3 linked regions of the Coturnix japonica genome follow. The protein of the gene in region 2 purifies or fractionates together with the protein of the main gene of each other region. This does not show direct contact. Links are inferred from orthologs where the notes say so. Each region holds a gene or a part of one and is shown on either strand. Other genes may lie near its edges. The genes, in order: TANC2, PPP1CC and PFDN2.

What was found.
Region 1: the proteins of PPP1CC (region 2) and TANC2 purify together in Homo sapiens (affinity purification with mass spectrometry; 3 studies listed by BioGRID and IntAct, counting the BioPlex papers as one, with this or other methods). This does not show direct contact. The link is inferred for Coturnix japonica from reciprocal best matches to the Homo sapiens genes PPP1CC and TANC2.
Region 3: the proteins of PPP1CC (region 2) and PFDN2 purify together in Homo sapiens (affinity purification with mass spectrometry; 4 studies listed by BioGRID and IntAct, with this or other methods). This does not show direct contact. The link is inferred for Coturnix japonica from reciprocal best matches to the Homo sapiens genes PPP1CC and PFDN2.

The regions. Positions count from the first base shown.
Region 1 is NC_029542.1:2,057,243-2,062,630, reverse strand, and holds part of TANC2 (protein TANC2), read right to left. Parts: coding exon 5,367-5,388; intron 3,164-5,366; coding exon 2,997-3,163; intron 2,227-2,996; coding exon 1,619-2,226; intron 1-1,618. UniProt on the Homo sapiens protein: Scaffolding protein in the dendritic spines which acts as immobile postsynaptic posts able to recruit KIF1A-driven dense core vesicles to dendritic spines.
Region 2 is NC_029530.1:5,180,097-5,184,424, forward strand, and holds part of PPP1CC (serine/threonine-protein phosphatase PP1-gamma catalytic subunit), read right to left. Parts: intron 3,962-4,328; coding exon 3,731-3,961; intron 2,876-3,730; coding exon 2,771-2,875; intron 1,893-2,770; coding exon 1,669-1,892; intron 1,214-1,668; coding exon 1,079-1,213; intron 642-1,078; coding exon 552-641; 3' UTR 1-551. UniProt on the Homo sapiens protein: Protein phosphatase that associates with over 200 regulatory proteins to form highly specific holoenzymes which dephosphorylate hundreds of biological targets.
Region 3 is NC_029540.1:2,482,408-2,487,895, forward strand, and holds PFDN2 (prefoldin subunit 2), read left to right. Parts: upstream 1-2,227; coding exon 2,228-2,299; intron 2,300-2,426; coding exon 2,427-2,488; intron 2,489-4,706; coding exon 4,707-4,830; intron 4,831-4,914; coding exon 4,915-5,088; 3' UTR 5,089-5,386; downstream 5,387-5,488. Other genes in the region: NIT1 (deaminated glutathione amidase), read right to left, coding at 1-224, 306-568. UniProt on the Homo sapiens protein: Binds specifically to cytosolic chaperonin (c-CPN) and transfers target proteins to it. Binds to nascent polypeptide chain and promotes folding in an environment in which there are many competing pathways for nonnative proteins.

The sequences.
Region 1 (5,388 bases), on a different chromosome or scaffold from region 2:
GCCTGTTTTAGCACTGTGTAACTTCTTGCCTCTGGCAAGGCACCTGGTCTGCTGAGTGCTGGCAATCCCATGGGGCCCTACAGATGCCCACATATGCTCAAGTGACCACGTATTTACCACCTGAGAGGTGGAAGCCATCACCTCTCATCCTACCACTGTGAGAATAGGAAGCTCCTGGCCACCTCTGTAAGCACCAGGAAGAACAGTGCTGGGCTCAGGGAACCAAAAACACCTGGATTACACAGCTGCACAACTGGCTGCTATGTGCAGAATGCCACATATGGGGGTGTTCAGCATCAGGGGAGTGTTCTGCAGATGGGTTTCCTTTTCCTGCCAACACAGGATGGCACTGAATTACCTGAACTGCTCCTGTGGTGGTGATCATTGCTCCCAGGCTGCCCATACCCAGGAAGGGGAGCAGATCTCAGCTCCACAGGCATCACAGGCACACACACATTACAAAGAAGGTTGAGAAGAATTCTCCAGCGACAAGCACTTAATGACTCAAGAGGAAGGATATCAAATAGCTGCCATCGATTGATACAGAGCCACTCGCTGCTGTAAGATGCTTTCCAAAGGGTTCACTCGATAGGACTGTTGTGCAGAACCTATTAAAGCAGGTCGGTTTCCCATTGGGAGGAGCTACGTGCTATTTTTCTACTCCAGACTGTTTGCCACAAAATTTAAAGCAGTAAATTACTCTGAGACCGCCAGCAGCTATGGCTGCTTTGATCAACCAGGAGCTGTTTGGTTCCAGCAGACAATGCTGTGTTTCATCAGCCTGGTTGCAGGGCCTAGAGATGCCCCGATAAGGCTGAGAATCCAAGTGTTTCCCTGAGTTTTCTAATCGTATTTTTGGAGATGGGCAGGGAAAAGAGAGCAGAGCTTACAGGGATCAACGACCAGCATTACAGTCAGAGCGTCTGTTTCCACTCTTCAGTAAAAAACAAAAGATAACGCAGTTAATAGTGATCATTGGGCTTACAGAATGTAAATCTAACCATGATTAAATTCTGTTCTCTGTGAGCTAAGCCAGGAGCTCTGCTGCTGTCAGAACAGAGATTACACATGCACTTAAGAGTCCAACATTGCTAAAGCCTGACTCTGTTCCTCATTCTGCTCTCCAAATGACACTTAATAGGACTACAAGGAGCAAGACTTCAAAAAGAAGCCAGCTTCAAAAGATGCATCGATGCTGCTCATCCTTCATCTCCTCATCCCTTATTTTGCGTGGCTGGGAGGGAATGGAGGAAGATTCTCCCTCCTGCCAGAGCTGGGGATGTCAATGCAGCTCCCCCCAGCAGTGCCATAACTGCAGCTTCGAGCTGCCGAGTGTGGACCCTCCGAGGTCCTTCCAGGGCTCAGCTCACCCTGGAGATGACTCTGATGTTTCCTGGCTCATCTGTGTGCCCAGGAAGCACCCACAACTTTCCATGACCAACACATAGGTTTAAGGAGACCAGCACAGATGTAGACCCACACAGTGTGGACAGAAAGCCAAGTAAAAGCAACCTCATCCCATGTGTGACCTCAACCAACGAAGCGGTTCTCAGAACAGAACAGAACACTTTTAGATGAACACACATCCATAAACCCATTTCTCAGAGCGTCTGCTTACCGAGGATCACAAAGAAACTTGGTCTTTTCACCTTCTTCTCTCCAAATAAGCCATTCTCGGAAAGAGGGATGAACAAACATTCGCGTCATGTCTCTACGTTTGATAAGAAACATAGAAAGGTTCTCCATCCTCTGCTGAAAGTCATCCCACTCCAAAGTGCCCTCAATGTTACCTGCATTAATGGCCTGAAAAATATGCTCATCTGTTAAAGGATGCAGAGATGCCACTGCCACATTCAAGAGAGGCATAACCCGATCAAAGGAAGACTGCGTTGGGAACTTCATATTGCACTGCAACAGGTAAACTTCTGACAGAGACACTGGGACTACTTTGTAGCTGGAGCTTTTTAGTACTAGATATCCTTTCTCTATGAGATCAAAAGTGAGTTTCAGGTACAGGTAGGACCCTTGGCTCAAGGTCTTGAGGTGAGAGCTGAGTTTGCCAAAGGTGGTGTTGTCCATTTTGCCGTTCAGTGAGATGTTGTTCTGGATCTCCGAGCTGCTGTGTATCCGATGGAGGATGTAAGCCTGCAGGTCCTGGTCTATGGCTTCGTTCTCTTCCAGTCTATCCAAAAATATTCTGTGGAAGGGCAACAGCTTAATTATTTCCTGCAAAGAAAGAAAACAGAAGTATATTCATTCTGGGAATGCTTATTATTCATTAAGTAAACTTGATTTGTATTACAATAGCACCTCCGAGACTCCTTTAAGACCTTTTCCATCAGAGAAAGCACATGAGAAGGCAGTTTAAGCCCTCAGGACCTCACAACCTCATCTATAATCAAACAGTTTCTGTGTGAGACGTGACTGAAATAAAAATGCAGGATGTGGTTCCTAACACTGCATCCACAAGAAGGACCAGGAAACTGGCACAGAGAGGTGCCCTCATCATCCCCACCCCAGCCCAACCCAACAGCAACGTGCCAACCCTCCTGCTGTCATCTCAGCCATTGAAAGTGGAGGATGTGGAGGTGATAGAAGAGAAATCCCACTGCTGACCCTGACCAACAGGGCAGGTCACAGGGAGTAAGTTCCACTGTTTCCAAGCAATGATGTCTAGCTGGATACCATGGCCAGGGAATCTCTCATTTGCTAAGCTCACCAATGGATGTGCTTATAGAGCAAACCCCCAAATCATTAAATGCTTTTCCAACAGGGTTCTTATGTTATAGGCTCTGTCACTGCATACTGGGGAGAAATGACCCAGCAGAGACTGAGGAGAGCAGCCCCATCTCCTGAATGGTGGTGCAAAACCAAAGCTCACAGTGAAGACAACAGGGGATGCAATTTACCTACCACCAGCAAAGCCTGATACACCCTAAGCTATTCTTTATCACAGCCCATCCTGACAGCCCAGCAGTTCCCAGGACTCAGAGTACCTGTAGACTCGTCCTGACGGTCACAACCAGCTTCAGCCAGGAAGGGAATTTCCCAATCATTTTGCTCAGGAATGATACGATGGTGTCACCATAATCTGGCTTGTGAAATTCAGCCTCGTTTAAACCATCAATTAATATGATGAAATCTTCGTCAGGGATCTTCCTCTCTAAGATGCAAAAAAAAGAGAAGAAAGCATTTCCTTATGAGGCCAAACATGTGGCTACAGAGTACTTTAAGGGTAAGGGAGAAAGAAGATATGGTGACAACCTCTCTCTTATGACACACTAATTGCACATAGGTAGGTCCATGCATACTCAGCTTCCATCCTCAGAAAATAGGTATTTTAATGAATGAACACTCATTGCCAACATGAGCTGTCCACAATACTCCAGGGAGTTGAGTGGAATCCCATTCTGTCCCAGCCTGACGTTACCAAGTTGCATTTAGTTCTGAACGTACCACTAATAGCCATATGAAAAACACACAGTTTGCATTAAAGTCACCAGAGATCCTTTTTCAGCTGACTCCCTCATAAGCTCATTGGATGCACCTGGAAACACACTTTATGGCTCTGAAATCATGGAGTGAGTGGAGCCTGAGTTTTATATCCATATATCATGTTTCTCATAAAGCCCAAAGGAGGAAGCAGAGAGAGGGGAAGAATCCCTACTTTGTTCTCCTATATATTATTTAAATTCCTTGAGATTAAATATATACACATATTGGAGAAACATGAATATAAGTTTCTCAGTGATATCCATCATTAACCATTAAGCAACAATTTTGCCCCAGCACCATTAAAACTCCATCAGCACCTTGTAAAAGACCTGCTGATATATTTACAGTGCCTTAAACGTTATAGATCTTAAAACCAATTTCCAGACATTGCTCGTTTTGTTGCAGAACTCTTAGTAGCCATCAGCCTGCCAGCACTCCCCATCTGCAGAGCTGGAAGATATGGAGAGCCCTGATTCCATATTTCCATCCCCCAATAACTTGGGACCAGCTGGAGGTCAACCTGTGTGGCAAGAGAAACAAGCATCCTCCAAAATGCCCTATAACCCAGAGCTGAAATACCTCGCAATGAGTTACCCAGCTCATTTTCCTGCATGGCAGTGGCTCCCAACCCAGGACTGCTGGGAGGAAGGAGCAGCCCCACTCCTCCTACGGTGACATTTGTGCATGCCAAGAAAACAAAGTGCTGTGTTTGTGCTGGCTCTGCATACCCCCATGCCCAGGAGAACCACACGCATTGGGTGCACGCTGCTGCTCTGCACTTTGGGCCATTTCTGCAAGCTGCTCTGAACAACAGGGCTTCAAATCAGGTAGATGCGATGTTTGCTCAGATGTGGTGATAGGAAGGGTCAGAAAAGAAACTAATGTGGACTATTTGTGAGGCCGATGACAACAGACACCATTTTGCAGGACAACAGAGCCCTGAACTCTGCAGCACTCTGACAGCTTTCATGACAATGAGCAAAGACCTTCAGTGCAGTGACTGTCACAATGAGTTAGTGACATCTCGGGTGAGGAGGAAAGGAAAGGAGACAAAATCAATGCTGCTTTGGGAAAGCTCTGAGATCAGCAGTCAGCATCTGATCTGTTAGCAGCTGCCTTAGAAGCTTCAGACAGCATGTCTATAAACTCCTATGGTATCAGTCCTTCTGCTGAAAGCTTCCAATTCTCAAGAGCCTATTAAATAAAGAGAAGGAAAAAACACTCCCGCCCCCCAAAAAATATGAAACAAAATATGTTGTCATGTGCAGGGTTGTGTATGGAAACTGTCGTGTGTTTTTACCTTCAGAGCTGCGAGGCCACATTCACATGGGTGGACAGTGATAGAACAAGGAGGGATAGTTTTAAACTGAGATGGGGGGGGGGTTGGGTTGGATCTTAGGAGGAAGTTTTTCACCCAGAGGGTGGTGATGCACTGGAACAGGTTGCCCAAGGAGGCTGCGGATGTTCCATCCCTGCAGGCATTCAAGGCCAGGCTGGATGTGGCTCTGGGCAGCCTGGGCTGCTGGTTGGTGACCCTGCACACAGCAGGGGGTTGGAACTGGATGAGCATTGTGGGCTGTTCAACCCAGGCCATTCTATGATTCTGTGATTTGGGATGGGGAAGAAAACAAGAACACGCTGCCATCAGCATTTCGTTTTTGGCTCTGAATTACACCCCAGGAGAGGAGGGGCTGCCAGCCTTGCAGATAAGTGTAGTGACAATTTCAGCTCCTCCACGTCTCACCCCCCCACCTGCAGCTCCTGACCGCTGCTGGGTTTAAATGCACAGATGCAAGAAAGCACTTCAAAACAAACAAAGTGGCATCAGGGAGCAAAGAGAAAGCAAAGCATAGGGAGCACCATCCCCATACCTTTGTGCAGGTTCTCCAAGGG
Region 2 (4,328 bases):
GGATGTGTGTGTTTCCATTAAATATACATCATACCGGTGATGCTGGGGAGGTTGAAGGCTATTCCTAACGCTGACAGCGATAAAACCAACGTGTACAGGACAAGACGTAAAAAGAAAAGCAATCCCTTTAAAACAAATCTGAACGTAAAAAAAAAGTTCACAGTGGTTTGTATAAACAGTAAGTCATCTCCAACAGTAACAAACTCTACTCTCACAGCACACCAGTGCCCTCTTTAGATCCTAAAGGAGAAAACAAGCATTTACACTAATTGTACAGGTTGAGAAAGTCAGTCGTACGGTTACCCATCATGACAGGATCGATGCTGCGGAGCGTGCAGCCCAACACCAACAAAAGGGAAGCCTAAAACTCTTTTTCTTAGAAGGGAGAAAAGTCCTTCATTTGCTGTTACAACCAGCAAATGCCATTCATCAAATCAAAAGGGAAACCACAAACACGTTCTATTGTGAGCAAGCTGAACAGTACACGTTACAGTTTAAAAAGGAAGGTTATATATTATAATACAAGTCCCAACCAGGCAGTGCCACGTGGACTATTTCTTGGCTTGCTTTGTGATCATACTCCTGGGAGGCGTTACAGGTCTGCTGGCGTTGGGCTTTTTCTTCTCCGCGGGTTTCAGGATCTGAAAAAGACAGTTCAGTCATTAAGCAAAGTGCTGGCTGCCCTACACTCCACTCAACAGCCCATTTGGTCGTGTAAGGAGCTACGCAGATCATCTGGGCAGCTCATAAGCCTCTGAAATAAATGGGTTTTCTGCTCTGAGCTCTGTTGGGGCTTAGAGAGCAGCTGACCAGAGGGCCCATGCCAATGGAAGCAGGAAGACAGCTGATAGCTTTGCTCCAGCTATTTAATCCCAGGGTCAAACAGTTCATCTACTCACACCAGAAAGGGCTTATCACATTTTTAAAGCCACAAGGGCAAACACAGCTCTGCCTACACTCAATACGTGAGATCTATTTGAAGCAGGTGTTACAGGTGTGCGATGGCACAGTATAAATGGAAAAGATGAAACAAAGTGTTACTGCAATAACTGGGAGGTAAAGTTGTCAGATACAATACCTGAAAAGAACACATTAAGGTTTCATCCACGCTCATCATGGCACCTGCGTTATCAAACTCTCCACAGTAATTTGGGGCAGAAAAGAGAGTTACCAACTGTCTTTTTGCAAAGAACTCGTATCCATCTTCCACAACCTTTGGAGAGAAACACAAATTACACCAGGCAATTTCCTCCAGACAAAGTACAGTGAAACGCAGCTCTAGCAGAGTCAGCAGCTGAAGAAACAGTCATAGCCAAGGAGCACCAGTCCTAGACTTTCACCCCCAAACTGGGAAAACATCACAAGCTCCAGCTCAACAAGGTCCATCAGCAATAAAAGCCACCAGAGTTCTGTGACGTTGAAAGCCATCTTGTTCAAATACCAGCCCCACACTATGAATGCACTGAGCATTAATTACAAAGGCTTTTAAACAGCAGACAAGCTGCTCCAAGATGCTGGAATCTCCATCCTTGCTTATATATAAAGCCAGCTGGATGAGATCTTGCATGTCTGTTTTGCTCCACACTGAGTACACGTGCATGGAGATGACCACCTCAGGTCCCTTTCCATTTCAATTATCCCATGGTTTAATGCACAAAGTTAAAATACCTGATGAGCTCTACATATGAGATCCAAATCATGTTTATGGAGAAACTTAGCAACCACTTCAGCTCCAAAAGTAAAGGACACTCCTCTGTCATTTTCACCCCATCCTAAGACATCTTTGTCAGGGTCAGACCACAGGAGATCACAAAGAAGACCTTGGTCAGGTACATCAGTGGGACGCATAATTCGTCTGATCTGTTCCATTGACTGAAGGTCTGGTGACAAACCTGTGTGCAGATAAGATAACACAGCTTGCATTTTACTCCACCTTTACACTGTAAAACTGAGGAATCAGCTCAAAGATGAGTGAAGCTTACACAGCCTGATTCCCATCAACATCTGGTGCGGCCCAATGGCAACGTGAAACAACATTTCAATCCAGCATATTTTTAAAGCTTTTCTGACAGGGGACACTATAAGATATACTGGGAGCAAGGTAAGCAAAGCCATTTCCACATGTAAAGGATTATAACAATTCCACTTCAATAATCTGCAAGTGTCTGTTAAAAGAGCTCCTAAGAGGCATTAAATACTAGAAATCACAAGGCTTGTTTATTTTAAAGATCAGGCTGAATAACATGGAATACAGAATCAGATCTTAAACCACTTTTTACTGCTATTCCTCCCGAGAAACTGTTTTACTTGCAGGTGATAATACACACACTGCAGCTTAAATGCTTTGCGCAGCTTTTCCAAGTAGTTAACAACTATCACATAGCACAACAGGGCCAGTCTGTAAACAGAGCACTAAAACACTGTTCTCAGAGTGTTTATACAACTTCTGGTCATGCAAGTCAGAAAACCAATGGGGACTCTTGGAATAAAGGAGACAATACCAGATATGTCCCCTGACAAAGAATACAGAAGGCAGAACTACCAGCTCAGCTATTTATGACAGTACCACTAATCAAGCTCTCAACACAAAGTGATGCAGAGACAAACCCCTGAAGTTTCAAAGCCTCAATAATGAGCTCCAAGACACAAAAAGCCCCTAAAATGTTTTCCAGCAAGAGAGGAGCACATGTCATGAATATGGAATTGCCAATATTTCAGTATTATGGGGTATTACATCTTCATGAAATATCAACTAAAGAACTTAACTTACCTCCGTGACAGCAGAATATCTTCTCATCCACAATTGCTGCAATTGGTAAACAGTTAAAACAATCGGTGAAGGTTTTCCACAGCTTGATGTTGTATCTTCTCTTACCTAGAAAAGATTGGGGGGAAAAAGACCATTCAATCTACTTCTCTAACACAACTACAAGCTACCTACTATGGCTGCCTGTAACTAAGACTTGCAAAAAAGTCATCAATAAAACCTACAAGCAAATATTTATCTTCTCTAATACTCTCTCACATCAGATACAAACCCTGAATGTATCTGCACCATGTGACTAAACCTGTGATTAATCTCTGAGGAGTCAACTCAAATACCACCCAACTCCACTTCCTTGTTGAAAAAGGAGAACGAGACACAGAGAACATTTTGTGACCGACAAGCCAAGCATGTCCCCAGCAGAAGCTGTGAGAAAGCCTCAGTACCCAACCACCGTAACAGCTTTATCTCCTCTATGTGAGATTAGGTCACATCCTTTTGTAACATACAAATGTACACATCTATTAACTTACAGAATTTATTGGGAACTAGATTGCAAGTGCTGTAACCATAATAACACAGAACAGCCCTTTACCCCAATCACAGTATACCTCAAAAGGTACATGAAAGTGACTGAAACCATAAAGCAAAGTAAAATCCCCTAATCTCTGACCAGACAACCTGAAGAACTTTACAAATTCATACCAGTGGGAACAGTTGCTTTACTTCAGTGGCCAATAAATAAAATTACCTCTTTGCTTGCTGTTCTGTACTGTGAGGACCAGACGATAATAAGATCAATGCAAAGACTTCCTTTTGCTAATACAGACCACAGGGCCATCTGAAGTGTGCAGAACTAACTGCAAGTTCAGGAAGTGATTTAATACTGGAGGTCTAGAAGACAGTAAGCACCTCCTACCCTGCTTTCCCAAGCCAAAGGTCCTCCCATCTGACCATATTACTTACATTCATCATAAAATCCATAAATTCTATTAATGCTGGCACATTCATGGTTCCCTCTGAGGAGGAAAAAGTTCTCCGGGTATTTAATTTTGTAGGCCAATAGAAGACAAATTGTTTCTAAAGACTGCTTTCCTCTGTCAACATAGTCACCAAGGAATAGGTAGTTGCTCTCTGGTGGAAAGCCTCCATATTCAAAGAGCCGAAGCAAGTCATAGTATTGTCCATGGATGTCACCTGTAAAAAGCAGTCAGAAATGGCACGTAACTGACTTTGTCATATTTTACAATTATTTTCCCTAGAGAAACAGCACCAACAGGAAAAACCTGCAGACAGATACTGCCTGCAGCATTCCTGAAGATTACATAGTTTGTCTTCATGCTATCACACTCAAAGTTGATATCTACGTAAGACAATGACTAAGAACACATTATGACTCCAGTACGTATCTGCTTTAATATACTCATAGACTCATAAAACAAGTCCAACATCCCAAGAAATCAACTCTACATACTCAAACAAATCTGGCACCCAGTTAAATCCTTTTCTTGACTACAGGCTGCAAGATTAGAAACCCTGACTTCATTCTTGATACAGCCACACT
Region 3 (5,488 bases), on a different chromosome or scaffold from region 2:
TCAGCTCACCGTCCAGGCTCTCGGCCAGGCTGAGTGTTTGTGCAGAGTCGCGGCCGATGTAGTCGAAGCCTTCAGGGAGGAACACAATGCAGGCTCCCCTTTGTGCTGCCGCCCGCACCAGCGCCGAGCAGCTGTTGAAGTTCTGCTCCTTGTCAGGGGTGGAGGTCACCTGGCCCACAGCCACCAGCGGCTTCGGTCCAAGGGACGCCGTCATGGCTCGGTGGCTGTGACACGGGACCGGTCAGCCCAGGGGATGGGGCACCGCGGTGGTCTGTCCCCAGCCACTGCCTCCCATCTGTGAGTACCTGCCTAGTGCGTGCGGGGGGCGCGGGCACAAGCGGTGCAGTGGGAGCCGCAGCACCGCGCTCAGCCTGGGTAGGGGGGCACAGAGTGAGCCCCTCTTCAAAGCCAAAACTGCCCCAGGACACCCCCAGTTTGTCCCCAGGACTCTCAGGCTGCCCCTCAACCCGCTTCCAAGCTGCCCCATGTTGCTCCTAGCACCCCTCCCAAACTGACCCAACACCTCCAGACGGCCTCCAAGCCATAGACTGCCCCCAGGTAGCCCCATAGACTGCCCCTATGCAGCCCCATGTTGCCTCTTGGAGCACCTAACAGCTCCCAGGCAGCCCCAGGACCCCACCAAAGTGCCTCACAGTGCCCCCATGTCCCTCCTCATACCCTAACCACCCCTAACCATCTCAGGACCACCATGACTTGCCTCTAGAATGCACCAGCTTGCCCTCAACCCCAACCCACACCCCAGCTGCCCCACACTGCCTGTACAACCCCTCCATACTGCCCCACATTGCCGCATAGAAAACCCTCCATCACTGCCGTCACATTGCCTTAGAACCTCCATTCCTGCCCCACATTGCGCCCTTAGTATTAGCCACGTGCCATACTGGCCCCACATTGCTCACATAGAACCCTCCATACTCGCCGTCACATTGTGTTGCGGCTTAGGAACCCTCGCATTTCTGCGTACCACATTGCCCTCAGAAACCCTCCATACTGCTTCTTCACAGGCTCTTGCCCTTAGAAAACGCCCTCCATTTCTGCCCCACATTGGCCCTTAGAACCCTCCATTCTGCCCCCAACAATTGCCCTCTTAGCAAAACTCATCCCATTCTGCCCCACAATTGCCCACTCTAGAACCCTCCAATTCCTCGCCCCACATTGCCCTTAGAACCCTCATTCTGCGCCTCACATCCTGCCTTAGAACACTCCCATTCGTGCCCCACATTGGCCCTTGACAACGCCTCTCATTCTGCCCCACATTGCCCTTGACAGACCTAGCAGTGACTGCCCTCACAATTGCCCCTTAGAACCCTCATACCGCCCCACATTGCCCCTTAGAACCGCCTCCATTCCTGCTCACATTGCCTTAGACCTCCATACTGCCCCACATTGCCCTTAGAACCCTCCATACTGCCCCACATTGCCCTTACAACCCTCCATACTGCCCCACATGCCCTTAGAACCCTCCATACTGCCCCACTTCCCTTAGAAACCCTCCATTTCTGCCCCCATTGCCCTAATGCCCGTCCATATCTGGCCCCACTATTGGCCCTTTAGAACCCTCCATACTGCCCCACATTGCCCATAGAACCCTCCATACTGCCCCACATTGCCCGCATAGAACCCCCATATACATGACCCTCACGATTGCCGCTACAAACTCCTCCCATAACTGCCCCGACATTGCCCTTAAACCCTCTCATACTGGCCACACATTGCCCTATGAACGCCCCCATACTGCTTCGCCATCGCCCCTAAACACCCTTCAAACAACCCCATAGAACCCCCAACACCCTTCAAACACCCCATAGAACCCCAACAACCTTCAAATCACCCCCCTATTATGATAACCTTCCAACTGCCCTTAAATGCCCACTTTGATTCTCTCTTCCCATTGCCCACAGGATTTCTCCAGAACCCTGTATCCCCCCCCGGCCCGTACAATATCGTTCTCGCGGCCCCGCACCGAGGCGGGAGGCGTGACAGATGAGGGGTCAATGGGCAAAGTCCCTGCCACAACAAGATGGCGGCCGGCACTACCTCACCATATAGCCACCGCTGCCGGGTTTTGAGCCATAACCAAGATGGCTTCCATGGTGTTTCCTGTATACACCGGAAGAGCTTTACTCGCTGTCGCTCTGCGCCGGAAGAGAGGCTGCCCAGTTTCCGGTGTGCGCCGGAAGAGACGCAAAAACGGTGGAGGGGGAAAATGGCGGAACAGCGCGAAAGGGGCGGCCCGGAGCAGCGGGGCCGGGCGGGAAGGCGCTGGACGGCGGAACAGGTGGCGGGGCGGGGTTTGGGGACGGACAGAGGGACGATCCCGGGATCCCAGCGGTGACATCCCCGGTGGTTGTGGTTGTGTGGTTGTTTGAGCAGGTGGTTGGCTCGTTCAAACCGGTTTACGACAGGAACAGCGGCGGCCTGGCGTCCCAACAGGCGGCGGAGCTGAGCTGGAGCTCAACGAACACGGGTGGGGGGGACATCGGGGGGTAACGGGACGGGGGGGGGGGGGGTGGGGCTGGGGTTAGGGGGATGGGAATGTGGGGTTATGGGATTATGGGGGGGTTGTGGGGATATGGGGTGTGGGGAATATGGGGTGGTGGATATAGGGGGGGCGTGGGGACACGCGGGAGGGGTGTAGGGGCATGGGGGGGGTACGGGATATGGGGGGGGGGTGTGGGGACATGGGAGGCGTGGTGGGGGAATATTGGGGGGGTGTGGAGATATGGGGGGTTGGGGGTCATGGGGGCGGTACGGGGATATGGGGGTGTATGGGATATGGGGGGGCGTGGGGGGTATGGGATATGGGGTATGGAGACTGGGGACATGGGGGGCTATAAGGGGGAACATGGGGGTAGGGAAATATGGGGGGTATGGGGACATGGGGTCATGGGGGGGTGTGGGACATGAGGGAGGTACATGTGTATGGGGGTGTAATGGGAGACATGGGGAGGGTGTGGGGATATGGGGGGGGTGTGGGGATATGAGGGGGGTACAGGGACATGGGGGGTATGGGGCTATGGGGAGGTGTGGGGACATGGAGGCATGTGGGGATGGGGGTGTGGAGATATGGGGGTAGGGGTTTACATGGGTAATGGAATATGGGGGGGGGTATGGAGACATGGGGTCCATGGGGGTGTGGGGACATTGGGGGGAGTAACGGTGATATGGGGGTGTATGGGGACATGGGAGGGGTTAATGGGGACATGGGAGGGGGGTGTACGGGGATATGGGTTATGGTGACATGGGGCCAGTAGGGGGGTTATGGGTCATGGGGGTGTGGGGGGAACAACTAGGGGAGGGTATTTGGGGTCATGGGGGGTGTGGGACATGGGAGGCTACAGGGATATGGGGGGGTATGGGGACATGGGAGGCTACAGGGATATGGGGGGGGGTACGGGGACATGGGGGTGTGGGGACGTGGGGGGTATGGGGATATGGGGGGTACGGGGAACATGGGAGAAGTATAACAAGAATGGGGGGTGCGTGGGGGATGTTGGCATTATGAGACATGGGAGGAGGTCATGCGGGGAATAGTAGGGGTGTGGGGACATGGGAGGGCATTGGGGACATGGGGTGTGTGTGGGGACATGGCGCGCGGTATGGGATATGGGGGGTAAGCGGGAGCTTGGGGGGATTGTGGGGACATGGGGGGTATGGGATATGGGGGGTGTGGGGACTTGGGGTTAGGGGGGCAATGGGGGGGGTACGGGGATATTGGGGGGGGGGTGTGGGGACAATGGGGGGGTATGGGGAACGGGGGGGGGTATGGGGACATGGGGTCTTTGGGTGGGGTAGCCGGGGACATGAGGGGTACGGGGATATGGGGGGGGGTGTGGGGACAGTGGAGTGGGGGACATGGGGTGTGGGGACAATGGGGCCCAGTTGTGGGGACATGGGGGGGTATGGGGACATGTTGGGGGTACGGGGATATGGGTAAGCAGTGGTTGGGGGCACCTGGGCAAATGGGTGAGGGGGGAAAAAAAAAGGGGGGGAAAAAAAAACGGGGGACGTTTATGGAATAGGGGCAAGCAAGGGAATGGGGGGGGGCACGGAGGACATTGGGTACCAAGGAGGGGTGGGCAGCAGAATGGGTTTGGGGGGATACTGAAGGGAATGGGAGGGTAATGGGGGTGTAAGGGCGTGGGCTGGGAGAAAGATGGGGGTTGGCAAAGGGATATGGAGGGGGGGTGGTAACAGTGAATGGGGGAGGCATTGGGATAGGGGGAACCAGCGGGGGTGTGGGTGTCAGTGGGATGGGTGTGTGAGGGACGTTGTAAGGGGGGGGGATGTGGGGGGATGGAAATGGGTGTGTGGAAGGTGGGGGGGGACAGTACGGGGGGGGGGGGACGCTGGGGTGTCACTGGGTGTGTGAGGGACACCAGGATGAGGAGACACTGATGTGTCGGGGCACGTTGGGGATATGAGGGGGGACAGTGAGGATGTGGGGGGGGGTCATCGAGTATGGGGGGGTGACTTGGGGAGGATGTGGAGGGCGTATTGGTTGGAGGATAGGAGCTGACACTGGGGTGTGGCGGGGCTTGCATGGGGGGGGGGGCCTCCCTGGATGGAGGAGGAAACATATGAGGAGTGGTGGGAGCGACGCTGTGATGAAACGAGGGATCTGGTTGAACGCTGGGAGCGCTGCAGGGTTGACGGGGGCTGACGGACCCCCCCCCCCCCAACAGCCTCGTGATTGAGACGCTGCGGGAGGTGGATCCCACACGGAAGTGTTACCGCATGGTGGGGGGCATCCTGGTGGAGCGCACTGTCAAGGAGGTGCTGCCCGCACTCGAGGGCAACCGAGAGCAGGTAACTCCAAACCCCCCCGGCACCCACAGACCCCTCCGCTCCCTCCCATAAAGCCCCTAAAGCCCCTCCTCTCTCTCCTCCCAGATCAGCAAAATCATCGAGTCGTTGAGCCAGCAGCTGCAGAGCAAAGGCCGCGAGCTGAACGAGTTCCGTGAGAAGCACAACATCCGCCTGGTGGGCGAGGATGACCCCCGGCAGCCCCCCAAGGACGGCACCGAGGGGGGCAAGGGCGGCACTGCCGGCGTCCTGGTGTCGTAGCCTTGTCCCCCTGCTGCCCCCTGCCCTCGTTGAGTGATTTTGTTGAATAGATGTGGGGATTTTGGGTCACAAGTGTTCTCTAGTTACGGGGCAGAGCCCTGGGAGGTGGCACTGAGGGCGGTGATAGCGGTGGCACTTTGAGGACGCCCTTGAGCTGCCCCATGGCTGCTGGTGGCCGCCTCCTTCCTGCACCACGTCCCTGCTGTGCCCTGGGCTGTGGGGGAGGGGCACACAAAGGTGTCACTTCTGCTGGGGGTGCAGGGGACAAAAAGCCACCAGGACGTTGTCCCCGCTTGGATCCTGTGTCCATCTTGTGCTGTTTCTCTTCCAAAAGTGTGTTCCTTTGGCAAAGGGGATGTGGGCAGCTCATGAGGGGGTCAATAGGGCTGGCACTGGGGGG